Elephas maximus indicus: one gene and its partner. The protein of the gene in region 1 interacts with the protein of each later gene in a biochemical or structural test. Links are inferred from orthologs where the notes say so. Each region holds a gene or a part of one and is shown in the gene's direction. Other genes may lie near its edges.

The links. The genes of interacting proteins can lie anywhere in the genome.
Region 2: the proteins of RAD51 (region 1) and EVL form a complex in vitro, tested with the Homo sapiens proteins (2 studies listed by BioGRID and IntAct). The link is inferred for Elephas maximus indicus from reciprocal best matches to the Homo sapiens genes RAD51 and EVL.

The regions. Positions count from the first base shown.
Region 1 is NC_064828.1:15,332,640-15,340,322, reverse strand, and holds the start of RAD51 (DNA repair protein RAD51 homolog 1), read left to right. Parts: upstream 1-4,678; 5' UTR 4,679-5,082; intron 5,083-7,683.
Region 2 is NC_064828.1:113,344,675-113,352,282, reverse strand, and holds the start of EVL (ena/VASP-like protein), read left to right. Parts: upstream 1-4,602; 5' UTR 4,603-5,412; coding exon 5,413-5,435; intron 5,436-7,608. UniProt on the Homo sapiens protein: Ena/VASP proteins are actin-associated proteins involved in a range of processes dependent on cytoskeleton remodeling and cell polarity such as axon guidance and lamellipodial and filopodial dynamics in migrating cells.

The DNA.
Region 1 (7,683 bases):
ATAGGGTTTCCAAGGCTGTAATCTATGGGAACAGACTGCCACATCTTTCTCCCACAAAGTGGCTGGTGGGTTCAAACCACTGATCTTTCGGTTAGCAGCTGACCACTTACCCACTGCACCACCAGGGCTCCTTGGTATAGCTATAGAATGGAATATTATTTGGTAATAAAAAGGAATGAAGTACTGATACACACTACATCATGAACCTTGAAAACATTATGCTAAATGAATGAAGCCAGTCACAAAAGACCACATTATATGATTCCATTCGTAAGAAATGTCCGGAACAGGGAAGCTATACAGGCAGAATGACTAGTGATTACTTTAGCCGGGAGGGAGGAGGGAAGGATTAAGAAGATAGACAGTGATAGCTAAAGGGTAAAGTCTTTCTTTTGAAGTGATAAAAAATATTCTAAAATTGACTGTTGTGATGGTTGCACCTATCTGTGAATACACTAAAAACCACTTTGAAGGGTTAATTATATAGTATGTAAATTATGTCTAAATAAAGTTTTTAGTTTTTTTTTTAATGTGATTGATTTGGGGTCAGATAAACACTGTTGGCCCAAGCAGTTGTAGCCAGAAAGGTCAAAGTCATGATTCCACTCAGGAAGTTGGGACTGGGTTTGCAGGTGCTCTAAGAGTGTATGTGAAGAACTGGAAGTTAAGGTCCAGTATCATCCACCAGTACAATCTGTAATCACTTAGGTAGGTTGATACTACCTCCAGAATGCTTCCTGAATCTGTTCCCTGTCACCGTTCTAACTTAAGCCCTCATCTCTTCCCTGAAATAATGCAGACTTTCCTAACAGCTTTGCTGGCTTCACTCTCACTCTGTTGACCTCTATCCTTTACACAGCGGCAGGATAACAGTGTCGAGGATTAAATGAAAACTTTGTAAACTTTTAAAGTACTCTACAAATATAAAATGGTAAAAAACCCACCCACTGCCATCCAGTGGATTCCAACTCATAGCAACCCTATAGGACAGAGTAGAACTGCCCCATAGAGTTCCCAAGGAGCGCCTCGCGGATTTGAACTGCTGAGCTCTTGGTTAGCAGCCGTAGCACTTAACCACTATGCCACCAGGGTTTCCGTATAAAATGGTAGTTGGGGGAAAAATAAATCTAACCATATTACTCATCTGCTTAAAAACCTTCAGTGAGTTCCCCATTACCTAAAAGAAAGAGCAAAGCTCCCTAGAATGGTCTTCTGTTTCTTCATGTTGTTGTTGTTGTTGTTAGGTGCCATCAAGTTGGTTCCAACTCATTGTGACCCTATGACCAAAAGAATGAAACACTACCAGTCCTACACCATCCTCACAATCGTTGCTATGTTTAAGCCCGCTGTGTCAATCCATCTCATTGAGGGTCTTCATCTTTTTCCACAACCCTCTACTTAACAAGCATGATGTCCTTCTCATAGGGATTGGTCTCTCCTGAAAAGATGTCCAAAGTACGGAAGACAAAGTCTCACCAACATCCCTTCTAAGGAACACTCTGGCTGTACTTCTTCCAAGACAGATTTGTTTAGTCTTCTGGCAGTCCAGGGTATATTTAATATTCTTCACTAATACCATAATTCAAAGGCATCAATTCTTCAGCCTTCATCATTCATTGCCCAGCTTTCCCATGCATATGAGGCAATTGAAAATGCTGTGGCTTGGGTCAGGCACACCTTAGTCCTCAAGGTGACATCTCTTGCAGATTTGCCAAGTAAAATGAAATCCTTGACAACGTCAATATTTTCTCCATTTATTATGATGTTGTTTATTGGTCTAGTAAGAATTTTTGTTTTATGTTGAGATGCAATTCGTACTGAAGGCTGTAGACTTTGATCTTCATCAGTAAGTGGTTTAAGTACTCTTCACTTTCAGTAAGCAAGGTTGTGTCACGGGCATGTTGCAGTTTGTTAATGAGTTTTCCTCCAAACCTGATGCCACGTTCTTCATATTGTCCAGCTTCTCAGATTATCTGCTTAGCATACAGCTCGAATAAGTATGGTGAAAGGATACAACCCTGATGCACACCCTTCTGGATTTTTTTTTTTAACTTTTATTGTACTTTAAATGAAAGTTTAAAAATCAAGTCAGTCTCTCATACAAAAACTTATACACATCTTGCTATATACTCCTAATTGCTCTCCCTCTAATGAGCAATTCCCTCCACTCTCTCTCTTCTAGTCCATTCAGCCAACTTCTGACCCCCTCCGCCCTCCCATCTCCTCTCCAGACAGGAGATGCCAACATAGTCTCTTAAGTCTACTAGATCCAAGAAGCTCACTCTTCACCAGTATCATTTTCTATCCCATTGTCCAGTCCAATCCCTGTCTGAAGAGTTAGCTTTGGAAATGGTTCCTGTCTTGGGCTAACAGAAGGTCTAGGGACCAAGACCACTGGGGTCCTTCTAGTCTCAGTCAGACCGTTAAGTCTGGTCTTTTTCTGAGAATTTGGGGTCTGCACCCCACTGCTCTCCTGCTCCCTCAGGCGTTCTCTGCCTTTCCTGATTTTAAGCCACACATTATCTCCTTGTTCTGTTTGAATGACTACCTCTTGGTCTATGTACAGGTTTCACACGAGTACAATGAAGTGTTCTGGGATTCCCATTCTTCGAAATGTTATCCATAATTTGTCATGATGCACACAGTCAAATTGAGACAGGCAGCCTCAGAGCTCAACACTTCAAGGAGATAAAGGCAGCCTCAGAACTCAGCACTTCTGAGAGACACCTCCTCTAGCTTATCCTCATTGAGCAAAATAGGCTACACATTGTTTTGAAACTGTCCTTGACAAGATAGCTACAGAATGGGCCAAGAACTGTCCTTGACAAGATAACCAGAGAACAGCCTTAGTGGGCCCCAACTCGTCTTAGCAGGCTTTTATGCTATCTCAACTCCAAGCGACCTATTAGCTCATTAAGTGCAAAATACATATAAGCACCCCGCCGGAGAATTGAACCCTTGTCCATAGAAAATGCATAATCACCTGAAGCCTCGAGTGCCTGTGCGAAGGTCATTCCTGAATATTCATGATGAATTTGCATTTCCTTGTCTGCTCTCTGTAAAAGCCCACCTCCCTACGCTGCCTGTGAGCAGTCTTGGAGGCAGCAGCCCCAATTGCTCCTTTCCTTGTACATGAAAATAAAAGCGTCTTTCTGATCTCCCACCTCAGCTTATTGGCTATGACAAGTCACGTTGAGCAAAACCTGGGATTTTCACCCAGCAACAAAATGCCTTTGCATAGTTAATAAAACACAGGTAAACCTCTTTCTTGCATTCTCTGCTTTCAGCCAAGATCCATCGGACATCAGCAATGATATCCCTTGTTCCACATCCTCTTCTGAATCCGGCTGGAATTTCTGGCAGTTCCCTGCCAGTGTACTGCTACAGCTGTTTTTGAATTATCTTTAGCAAAATTTTGCTGTCGTGTAATATTAATGATATTGTTCAATAGTTTCTGCATTCTGTTGCGTCACCTTTCTTGGAATGGGTGCAAATATCAATCTCTTCCAGTCAGTTGGCCAGGTAGCTGGCTTCCAAATTTCTCGACATAGACAAGTGACTGCTTCCAGAGTTGAATCTATTTGTTGAAACATCTCAATTAGTATTCCATCAATTCCTGGAGCCTTGTTTTTCACCAGTGCCTTCGGTGCAGCTCAAACTTCTTCCTATAGTACCATTGGTTCGTGATCATATGCTACTTCTTGAAATGGTTGAACATCGACTAATTCTTTTTGATACAGTGACTCTGTGTATTCCTTCCATCTTCTTTTGATGCTTCCTGCGTATTCACCATTTTGCCCACAGAATTCACCAATACTGCAACTCCAAGCTTGATTTTTTTCTTCAGTTCTTTCACTGGAGAAATGTGGAGGATGTTCTTCCCTTTTAGTTTTCTAACTCCAGGTCTTTGCACCTTCCTTTCCAGTTTCAGCACTTGTTATGGCAACTACCCTCCCTCTTCAAGCAATGCTATTTCTTGAACAAGGCGTTCATTTCCATGACCATTTTGCTCTACCAGCTATGTGGGCCACCTCTTCTTGGCCTGAGAAACCTTTCTCATTTTTTAAGACCGGGGTCACAGGTCAAAAATTCTGGTAAACCATGATAAGGTAAATCTTACCAAAATCAATGCCTCTTTCCTCTGAACCCACTGCCCTCGAGTCATTCCGATAGCGACCCTATAGGCAGAGTAGAACTGCCCCATAAGGTTTCCAAGGAGCAGCTGGTGGATTCGAACTGATAACCTTTTGGTTAGCAGCTGTAGCTCTTAACCACTGCGCCACCAGGGTTTCCGCTCTCCTCTGGGGTCCTGTAAATCTCTCGTAAAACACCACAAATTTAGACTATACTATTCCAGTCATTTCGTTCTCCCCTCCGAGGAGCGCTATATCCATCTCGGACTTCCTCAACTCCACCACCTGGCTCTGGAAATTTGACTTATGTCAGTGGCTTACAGCAAACGAAACTGCCAAAAGGTCGCACCAGGCACTTTTGGCTCTCAGGGGTCAGGTTACGTTCCAGAGATGGGTGTGGAGGCGCGGAAGCCGCGGCGCCCGCTGACGGTGCATGCTGGGAGGTGTAGTCCCGGTCCGACCACACCGTCTCGGGAGTTGTAGTCCTCCATCTGGTAGCGCTCTCCTATGGAGAGAAAGAAAAGAATTTAGTCCTAAGAGAAAAAGGATGAGGCTGAACGATAAAACCATGCAAGTTCCTTGGGCCAATGTCTCCGGCTCTCGAGCAGCGGCCGAGGCGCCTAGAAAACTGCTCCGCGAAGGGCGGGGAGACGTTACGTGGAGGCGGGCGTGACCCTGCCCAAGAGGGTTTGGCGGGATTTCCGAAAGCCGCGGGTCGAGCGCGCTTTGTGGTTGATACGGAGTCCGGGGAAGACCTGAGACGCGCCCGAAGACGCGTAGTTGGGAGCCTCGCCTCGTCTGGCTCGTACGCAGAAGGCTTAAGCAAAGGAGTAGAGAAGTGCGGCGCAAGTGAGGGGCCGGGGGGCCGTCAGGAGTCGCGCGCTCGCTAGGCCAGCGGACGGCAGTCGGAGCGCGCGGCCCGCCGGAGAGAGCAGCGCTGCAGGCTGAGGTGAGTGTGTACGGCGCGGACCCGGCCCCTTTCACCGCAACGGTCGGTCCCCGCGTTAGTAGGCTCGGGCCCGGGCCCGTGCTGCCGTCACCAGCCTCCAGGGCCCCTCAGCACTAAGCGAGGACTCCGGTGATGGCGGAACAGGGACATGCCCGGACCAACAGTCCTCGGAGCTCGTTGAGGAGAAGACAGAAGCGGATCCCAGTCTTTAGAGCTGGGAAGAACCTTAAACACTTTCATACCTGATACTGATTTTATGGGTCAGGAAGCTGAGACGCAGAGAGGTGTACTGACTTAGTTAAGTTCACAGCTATTTAATGTCAGAGTCGGGTTTTCTGGATCCCTGTTCACTCCTCTTACCATTACGTCATGTTTTGCTTAGAAACGTCCGGCTTCTAATTGCCAGAAAGATACTTCTGCTACCTGACGTGGCAGAGCGTTCACGTGATACCTAGAGGATGATCTGAAGTGAGGTTTTTTCTAAACTTCTGCAGTAAAGTGTAATATAATAGAAGTGCCCCAAAGAGTTTCCAAGGAGCGTCTGGTGGATTCGAACTGGCACCTTTTTGGTTAGCAGCCGTAGCACTTATCCCTATGCCACCAGGGTTTCCAAGTGTAATATAAAAAATATATATATATATATATAGGAAAAAACGCAGATCACAGAGGTTTACAGCTTCATGAATTACTACCAAATGAATATATTTGTGTAATCACAAACAAAAAACTCCATGCCGTGGAGCTGATTCCCAGACATAGTGATCTTTATCCTAGGAAGGAGTAGAATGGCCCCATAGGGTTTCCAAGGCCATAATCTTTTAATTTTCATTGTGCTTTAAGTGAAAGTTTACAAATCAAGTCGGACTGTCATACAAAAATTTATAAACACTTTGCTATATACTCCTAATTACTCTCCCCCTAATGAGACAGCACACTCCTTCCCTCTGCTCTCTGTTTTCGTGTCCACTTGGCCAGCTTCTGACCTCTTCTACCCTCTTATCTCCCCTTCAGACAGGAGATGCCAACGTAGTCTCATGTGTCTACTTGATCCAAGAAGCACATTCTTCACCAGTATCGTTGTCTATCCCGTAGTCCAGTCCAATCCCTATCTGAAGAGTTGGCTTTGGGTATGGTTCCTGTCCTGGGCAAGGCCGTAATCTTTATGGAAGCAGATTGCCACATCTTTCTCTCCAGAGGAGCTGACGGTAACAGAGAGTTCTTAACCACTGGGACACCAGAGCTCCTGAGTGAAACAATGCTGTATACATATGCTTTTGTGGAGCCCTGGTATCCCAGTGGTTAAGAGCTCGGCTGCTAACCAAAAGGTCGGCAGTTCGAATCCACCGGCTGCTCCTTGGAAACCCTATGGGGCAGTTCTGCTCTGTCCTGTAGGGTCACTATGTGTCGGAGTTGACTCCATGGCAATGGTTTTATATTAATTTGTGTCTGGCTTCACTCAACATGTCTGTAGATTCATACATGTCCCTGTGTATAGCAGTACATTTGCTGTATAGGGTTTCTTATCAAGTCTACCCATGGTGGACATTCAGGTTGTTTCCAGCCTTTTTACGAACATTCCTGTATATATTTGATAAATATGCGTATGCTTTTAAGTTGGTTAATATACACAGTATTAAAATTCCTGGGTCATGGCATTTGTCTATTTTCAACCTTTACATTGAATGCCAAATAGTTTTCCAAAATAGTTGTACCAGGTTATACTCACACCAGCAGTGGATGAGTGTTTAGTTGTTCCACATGCTTGCCAACACTTGATATCATCATTCTTTTTAATTTTCGCTATTCCTATGGGCATAAAATATCTTACTGTGGTTTTAATTTTAGGTTTATTACTCATGAGGTTGAGCTCTTGCTCATACGTTTATTGGCCATTTGCTTATCTTCTATAGTGAAGTGTTCAAATCTTACGCCCATTTTTCTATTGAATTGTCTTTTTCTTACTGATTTGAAAGAGTTCTTTAAACATGCTGGTTATCAGCCATTGGTTATATATATGCCAAATATTTTCTCTCACACTATGGTTTGACTTTTCATTCTCTTAATGGTGTCTTCTGATGAATGCAAGTTCTGAATTTTAATGTAGTCCAAGTTTTCAGTCTTTTCCTCAATGATTATTGCATTTTGTATCAATTTAAGAACTCTTTCCCTATTCCAAGGCCGTAAAGATATTCTCCTATATTCTAAAAGATTTGTTTACCTCCTAATTTAGATCTATAATCTAAATTGGAAATTAATTTTTTTCTGTAGTGTGAGATAGGGGTCAGGTTCATTTTATCCTATCCAATCAACTCAGCACTGTTTATTGAAAAGACCATCGTTTCCCCATTTCTCTGCAGTGCCATCTTTTTCATAAATTATGAAGGGAAATGTTTAAATTTAAATTGCATCCAAATTATTTGGATATGTTGAATTATCATAGATTCATAGTATGTTAAATCTGCCATCTAAGAGATCTGTACCTAAACCAATCAAGACAAATGATCATCTTTCGTCAAGTCTTCAAGAATAGAGACTTCATATCTCTTATCTTTTGGATTAAATTTGTCCTGGTATTTGTCCAGATTCTTTTGATGTGATTTA
Region 2 (7,608 bases), about 98 Mb from region 1:
TGTGTGCCAGGCATTTCATCCCCACAGCATCCCCACTGAGTAGGTGCTATCTTTCCCACATTAGGTTGAGGAAACTGAGGCTTAAACTGGTAAGCATTTGCCCAAGGCTCCTCAAGTGGGTAGTAGTAGGGCTGGTTCAGAGCCATACCATTCTATCACTGCTTGTGGAGAGAAGGGAGAAAGCACTGTGGACGGGGGGACAAGGGGATCCAGAAATGGAGGTGGGATGAGTAAGTGTGCCAGGGCTCAGCGAGGAGACAAGCCTGGCCACCAGAAGATTCTGGTTGGCAGCTGTGGAAAACAGACTGAAGCATAGAACAGGTCAGTTTGTGGAGTTGCTGAGTGCCAAGCTGAGGGGCTAGATGTTGTTCTGCAGACAGTGAAATAGACTGGTGGGGTTTGAGACTGGAAGGTGCCAGGGCAGGTGACCGTGTGCAGGAAGGGAGTCAGACTGGGAGGGAGACCAGGTGGAGATGGGCAGGGTCTGCGTTAGAGTGGTAGAAGTGAGACTAGAGAGAAGGGGACTGAAGTAGGCCATGGAGGACCCTGTGGAGTGCTTCTTGTCCCCACTCAGTCCCTGCTCATTTGAAAGATCCTTGGTTGGGCCATGAGAAGAGAAGAGTGCTTTTAGTCATGAATGTGTCTGATCTTCAGGTAGGACTTCTACCATTTCATCTCCACGCAGCCCTACAGTGGATGTGCATAGCTAGAAACATCACGAGCGTTTGAACTCTGGATTCTGCTCACACACGCTCAGGCTTACTGTGCTGCACACGCATCATGGATGAGTTCCTACAACCCAAAAATAGTGGGAGAGGAAAACAGGACACAGAGACTTAAACTCCCAGGTTGTCGGTCTGCACATCAACTGTAACGGGACTCATACCAACAAGCTATAAGTGCCCTTTCTTGGAAAACTGACCATTTTATAAGAAAACAGGAGCCCTGGTAGCACAAGAGGCTAAGAGCTCAGGCTGCTAACCAAAAGGTTGGCAGCTCACATCCACCAGCCGCTCCTTGGAAACCCAATGGAGCAGTTCTACTCTGTCCTGTAGGGTTGCTGTGAGTCAGAGCCAACTTGATCACGGGGGTTGGGGTTTTTTGGTTTGATATGAAAAGACATGTTGCTTGCAAAACTAAGGTACATGCTAAGCTAAGGACACTTGTTTCAAATGTTCCCAGTTGTCAGTGACCTAGGGTCCCTCCACGTTAATGACTGTGCTTTGTTCAGTATCTCCATGTCTGTGTTTTTCTGAGAAGCCTCCGGAAGTGTGCATGTCCAGTACTTGCAGTAGGGGAGTGTTCTGCCAGGTCAGCAGGGGCAAGTCAGGAGGCTTTTATTCTTAGGAATGAGACTGGAAAGAGGAAGTGGACCTAGATTACCCAGGGTGAGCATGCTGGCTTTAGCTCTAGAGCCCCACAGAGTATCAGTGCCGGCGGGACCACTGGAGTCATCTGGGCCAGGTGTTCTCAGGCAGACTCCAGGTTTGTCTCTAGTGGAGAGTGGAAAGGCCTAGCAGCAGGGGCTCTGTGGCTCTGCCGCCCCTTCTTCAAACAGAACCATCCACTGTCATCAGTTTTATGTATTGAGGTTCCAGGTAGCTGCTATCTTAAAACACAAAAGGCTAAGAAGTGAATATCTGGCTGTTCCTTCCTGGTAGAAAGGGAAATTAAGTCCCAGAGTAGGAACCTATTTTGTCTGAGTCCTGAGACATTGAAGATGACCTTGAACGACTTTTTAAATCATTGTGTGGTGATAAAAGTCCTTTATTGGGCCTTATTCTGGAGAGGAGTGGAGCTGTCAGGCATCATGGACCCTCATTTGTGACACCCCGGTTTCTGACCCTTTGGTGTTACCAGTAGTTGAGATGTCAAGGATCTGTCTAGTCTTGGAAGCAGGCTGTTTTCCCATCTGGTCCCAGCCCTGTCTCAACTCTTATTTCTACCCCTTACTTCCTGGGGCAGCTGAGGTACTTTTTCAGCCTTTAGAGGTTTCTTGCCTGGCTGTGAAATTGGGGATTAGACAGAGCCAGCTGGATAAAATAGCCCAAAAGGTTCACAGTATCCCAGCCCCTTCTTGGGTCACAGGCTGCCTAACAGTCTGTTGTAAAGTCTTCTTTTAGAGCCGGCCTGAGACAGATCATTGGTGTTAGGATGCCAGCGGGACACAGGGGTCCTGAGGCACTGCTCTGCTAGAACACCTGTATGACTTTGGGCGACCACTTTGGCCTCTGTGTCCTTATTAGCATATTGGGGAATCTCTAAAATTATGTCTAAATTGCTGCTGGCGTTTGGAGATTTTTCACCATTTCTATCAACTCTCCTCTCTATTAGGACCTTGTGAATTGCCTCAAAAGGTATAACCAGCTCTCCAAGAGGAGGTTCTTGAGTCACTGGTGAAAGACAGGCATGGACTAGAGGTTCTCTGTTCAACTGGGCCTTCCACTACACTGGGCCTGCCTCGTAGGCACTGGCAAGGCCTAAGCAGATGAGAACAGTTCCCAGCAAAGCAGTTACTACCCTGTCCTTGAGTTTGTGAAGTATTGGCAAGGTGATGCCCTGGTATCTTCTTTCCCTCCAGATGCTTATGTCTGGTTGATGTCCAACTGCCCCTTACCCATCCCACCTATGACTATACCCAGGTAAAAACCAAAAAACCAAACCCAGTGCTGTCGAGTCGATTCCGACTCATAGTGACCCTACAGGACAGAGTAGAACTGCCCCATAGAGTTTCCAAGGAGCACCTGGCAGATTAAAACTGCCGACTCTTTGGTTAGCAGCCGTAGCACTTAACCACTACGCCACCAGGGTTTCCATACCTAGATAGTTTACAAATAAAAATATCATATAGTTACGTTTGGTCTGGCCAACTGCTCTTGCTAACTCTTGGGTAATCTCTACTGCTTTTTGTTTTTTAAACCTAGGATTTAGGACTGGGACTAGACATGATGGATGGGTGGATGGATGAGTGGGTGGGTGGATGGGAGTGGATGAATGAGTGGATAGGTGGATGGACGGGTGGGTGAGTGGATGGGCGGATGGATGGATGGATAGATGATCTCCCCTTTCCTGAGAATCACAGCACAGAAATATGTTGCTGCCCCCCAAGATGGAAATGCACTACCAATGAGCAGATGGACACTTCAGTGAGGAAGGGGACCTCACCATAAAGAAGAGCACCCAGAAATCAGGGCTGTTCAGCGAGAGGCTGTCTTGTGAGATAATAAAGACCATGAGGAATGTCTGTGTAGCTTTACTTGCCTGATAAAGAACTTCCAGCCATCTTGTGAGAGAGGTGTGGCCAGTGTAACCCTTATTCCAGTTTCACCTGTGCAGAACCCAGTGCTCAGAGAACTTAAGGAAACTGTCAGCAGTCATGGAGTTTGTAAGTGGCAGACCTGGGACTTACAGCCGGGCTATTTAATGGCTCCGAGTCTCCCATGTTTTCTGTCATATCAGGATTCTGCCAAGAAGCTGCTGTCACTAGACAGTCTCAGGCAGACACCTGTCAGGAATACTGGCGAAGGCATTCCTCCGTCAGCTTAGTCGATGATTGCTATATGGTTTGCGGGACCCCAGGATTCCCCAAAATGTCTCCCTCACTAGCCAGTCTGCCTCCGTTTGCCTTTATGACTTCGTTTCTTTGAGTCAAGCTCCAACGCTAGCTTCTCAGAGAGCAAGCGAGCGAGCTGGGTGGAGAGGGCGTGTTCACCCGGAGCACCTTCATGTGAGTACATGTGCTAGGTCAGGTTTCCCCCGGATAGAAAGCAGGGCAAAAAGAGGCACACTCAGGAAACCTTTTTAAGTAACTCTGCTTTGTCGAGGCCTGCCCAAGGCAGTGGGAATACAGAAATGAATCTCACACAGTCCCTGCCCTGACAGAATTCGTGGATCTGTGGGGGAGGCAGAGAGAGTGCTGTGATCGGTGCAGTTGGACCAGAGAGGAGTGAGAGCGGCTAACTGTCCCTGGGACTCCTCCGGGCCCTGGGCAGGAGCAGGCAAGGGACAGTGGGCAGCATGGGGGAGCGGGGGGAACGTGGAGCAATCTGACCCAGGTGGCCCAGGCACCCAAGAAACGGAGTCCTGGCATATTCTGGGATCTGTGGATGTCTCATGAAGAATTTTAATGGAAGAAAGAGTAGGAGAAATCCGTTTTGACTTCATGGGGGCGCCAAACTAATGCAGGGCTCAAATGGGGCGGGGGATCAAGGCCAAATTTAGGACAACTGCTCAGGCAGAATTTTCAAGAAGGGACGCCAGGAAGAAGACTAGGAAGGAAACTGAGACATTAAGTGAGAAATTTTGAAGATATGAGCTGAGGCAGTTGGGGTGGGGGCGGGCAGGACCGGTTCAGAGGAGCCTTTCTGAGACAGAATTGGAGTTAGTGACTGGTTATATTTGTAGTGTGAGAGAGAGAAAAAAGAGACAAGATGACTCACGGGTTTTTATTTGAGATTTGTCTCCCTTGTTTTATAAAGATTTGCAGCCCAAGTGCTGGAGAATCTCCGCAGTGGCAGGTTTCGGAATACCTCCTCAGCCCACTGCCAGATCTGGCCAGCTTGGGCTTCACAAACTGATAAACATTGCTCTCTTTTTTGGCTGACATCTCAGTTCCTTCTTCTTAACTTCTGTTCTGAAATTATTACAGCAATTACTGCACTTCAAGGAACTGTTAAGAGCCCGGTACACATTCGACACTCAGTAAATGAATAATCAAATAAAGGAGACACTAGCTCTGAGTGACAGCCAAGGTCATGTTATTCATGGTAAAAGTGGGGGCGTAAAATGTGACTTTTGTGATCCTGAAGCATCTTAGGCGTTTGTGCAAAACAATGTTTGGTAGAGGGACGGTAAGGTGCCGAATTTTAAAGACTCTCGCCGTGAGCTGCCTTTCCATGTGGTGCAGCCCAGGTTTCACTGTGTACCGTTTGTGCTTACGATGTTGGTCATGCCTGATCATTACAGCAGCCGCCACGGGAAGATGAGGTAATGAGGTCGACCACAATGGAACAGGTTGCCTCCTCGTTTCTTTAAGCTGCAGAATTCTGGTGGGGGGAGGTGGGATATCTTACCTGATTTAACCAGGATCCCGGCATGCCCAGGTCTGGCCGATTTCCCTGGACTAATCCAGCTCCCAGCCTGGAGTCTAGGCATACACTGCATTCATCAGACTTGCTGGAATGATCACATGGTTTTCTAGCTGCCTCCCCTGTTAGCTGCCGCTTGTCAGCAGCTGGCGGAGCTGGAGGCTGCAGGCCCCTGTCTGCAGAAAACCTTCTACTTCAGAATATTGGGGGGTGTGGGAGCCCGCCTCTTTTTTCCGGCACTTCACCCCATCACACTGACTAAATGGTTGTCCTCCGTACCAACAAGGCTGCCAGACAACCCGAGGAAGCTGTCTCTGACTAGGTCATGTTTGCATTTGAAGAATTCAGGTACGTTCTGGGGTTTCTACATCAGTGTGCTGCTGGGTTTTTGTTCTCACTGGGGTTTTGCTGTGTAATGATGGACAGCTTAGGCTCTGGTTGGTTCTCACAAAAAAGGGGTTTTCTCTTCGGCATTTGGTGGGGTGATCCTGATTGTGGGAGGTGTAGAGGTGGGCCAGGTCAGGGATGCTTACAGCATGCAAAAGTGCAGCATGGATAACTGGTTTTATCCTGTGCAGATTTGCCAAGACCCCACCTTGTGCCTCATGGAGCTGCTGTTTCGGGTGTGGAGTTACGAATACAGAATAGTAACTGTTTATCCAGAATGAGTCTCTCGCTATCTTTTGTGTTTCTTCCTTTGTCAAGCTCACGGAGTCTGTTGCCCCTTGTAAAAACGCCCATTGTAACAGTGAAGGTGAAATGTTCCGTAAGTCTGTCTGCAGAGTTGAGATGTGCTTTTGGCTCTGATTTTCCCCGTTATTTTTAACAACAATCTAGCGGCTGGGTGGTTTTCTGGGACGTGCCCTGATGATGTTTTGTTAACAGGGTCCTTTGCTGTTGCAGGTCTTTCAGCTGCTCTAACTATTAATGCCCCAAATTAGAGCCTTTGTGAATCTCACCCCTCCCGTCTCTTTCTTCTCTTCTGCTGGAGTCCGTCCCTGGGTGTGAACGTGGGAAGGGATGTTCCAGCAGAGATAGTTTCTAAGAAATGAAAATAGAGGAGGCGGGATAGGAGGGCGATCAGATCATCCCTGTTCACGTCTCCATCTCTTTGGAGCGTATGCACCTGCGTCTGCTTCCGACCTCTGGCAGCTTCTCGCTTTTCAAATAGAATTTCTGTACCTTTTAGAACTGAGCAGAAATACCATATTGATGGGCAAAGAGTGATCGTGCAGGAACCTCGGTTCCACCTCTCCGGGCCCTCTTTGTTCCCTCCAAATGCTGCTGCGGTAAGACATGGCGATGATAATAGAATAACCACCATTTATTATTTGTAAGAGGAAACTGGAGCCCTTTTAATCGATCGGGGCAGTAGATGAGCGGACGGTTTGGTTTTCTAAAGTAGGGCTGTAAAGGTTGTCCCGCCCTTTTCTGTAAACTTGGTGCTCCGGGCCCAGGAAGTTACCCTTGTCTCAGAGTAAGCCTCTGCATTATTTCCAGCAGACTGGGATTGTGAAAAGGAAATGCTTTCCATGTGGCACCATGGTCCAGTGACGTGGGGCCTGTGCCCTTACATAGGATCATTCCATTAGATAATTAACAATAATTTATTTCCTGCCTGCCATGCTACAGTGGCTAGGCTCTTGGGGAGTGAATCAAGAGTCCTGGGTTCTAATCCCAATTTCAGAAGTAGCTTTTCTGATCCTTGAGTGAGTTATGGAAGAGTTTTGTAAATGTTGGAAGTGGTAGCGATTGTGAGGTTCATATTTCATTGTTAGCATTTATTTCCAGACAGAGTAAGCTGTAGCTACCTCCTTAAAGACAGCTTGGAACCTTTAATTTCATAGTTGGGGAAGAGGGCATATGTATTAACAAACCCATTCCTATTGTGGCGGGGTCCTCGCCTGAGAGCCAAGAGTGGGCCTGAGGGACTGGAGAGGGTAGAGTTAGAGGCCACTGAACAGGTGAATTGAGAAAGAGAGGCCATGGTTGTGGAAACTAGACTCAGAAGGGGAGGTCTGTTCCATCCCCAGCTGTAGGCCTCTGCTTAAGTTGGCCCTAAGTAACTTTGCTGAGTATGCTTATATTTTGTGACTGCAGCATGGTACCAGACAAGTGGTTTCTTCTTTAGTCGTGAGGTTTGTATGCATGGGGCCAGGTGATCAAGGTGGGAAACATAGGGGCTGTGTAGGAGCTCAGCTTGTTAGCTTCAGTCACAGTGGTTCTCAAGTGTTAGCATGTGTCACAGTCCCCTGGGAGGCTTGCTAAAAGTCATGTGGCTGGGCTCTACTCCTGGACTTTCTGATTCAGTAGGTCTGGGGTAGAGCCTGAGAATCTGCATTTCTTTTTTTTAATTTTTATTGTGCTTTAAGTAAAAGTTTACAAATCAAGTCAGTCACTCACACAAAAACTTATATACACCTTGCTACATACTCCCCCTAATGAGACAGCCTGCCCCCTCCTTCCACTCTCTCTTTTCATGTCCATTTCGCCAGATTCTAACCCCCTCCACCCACTCATC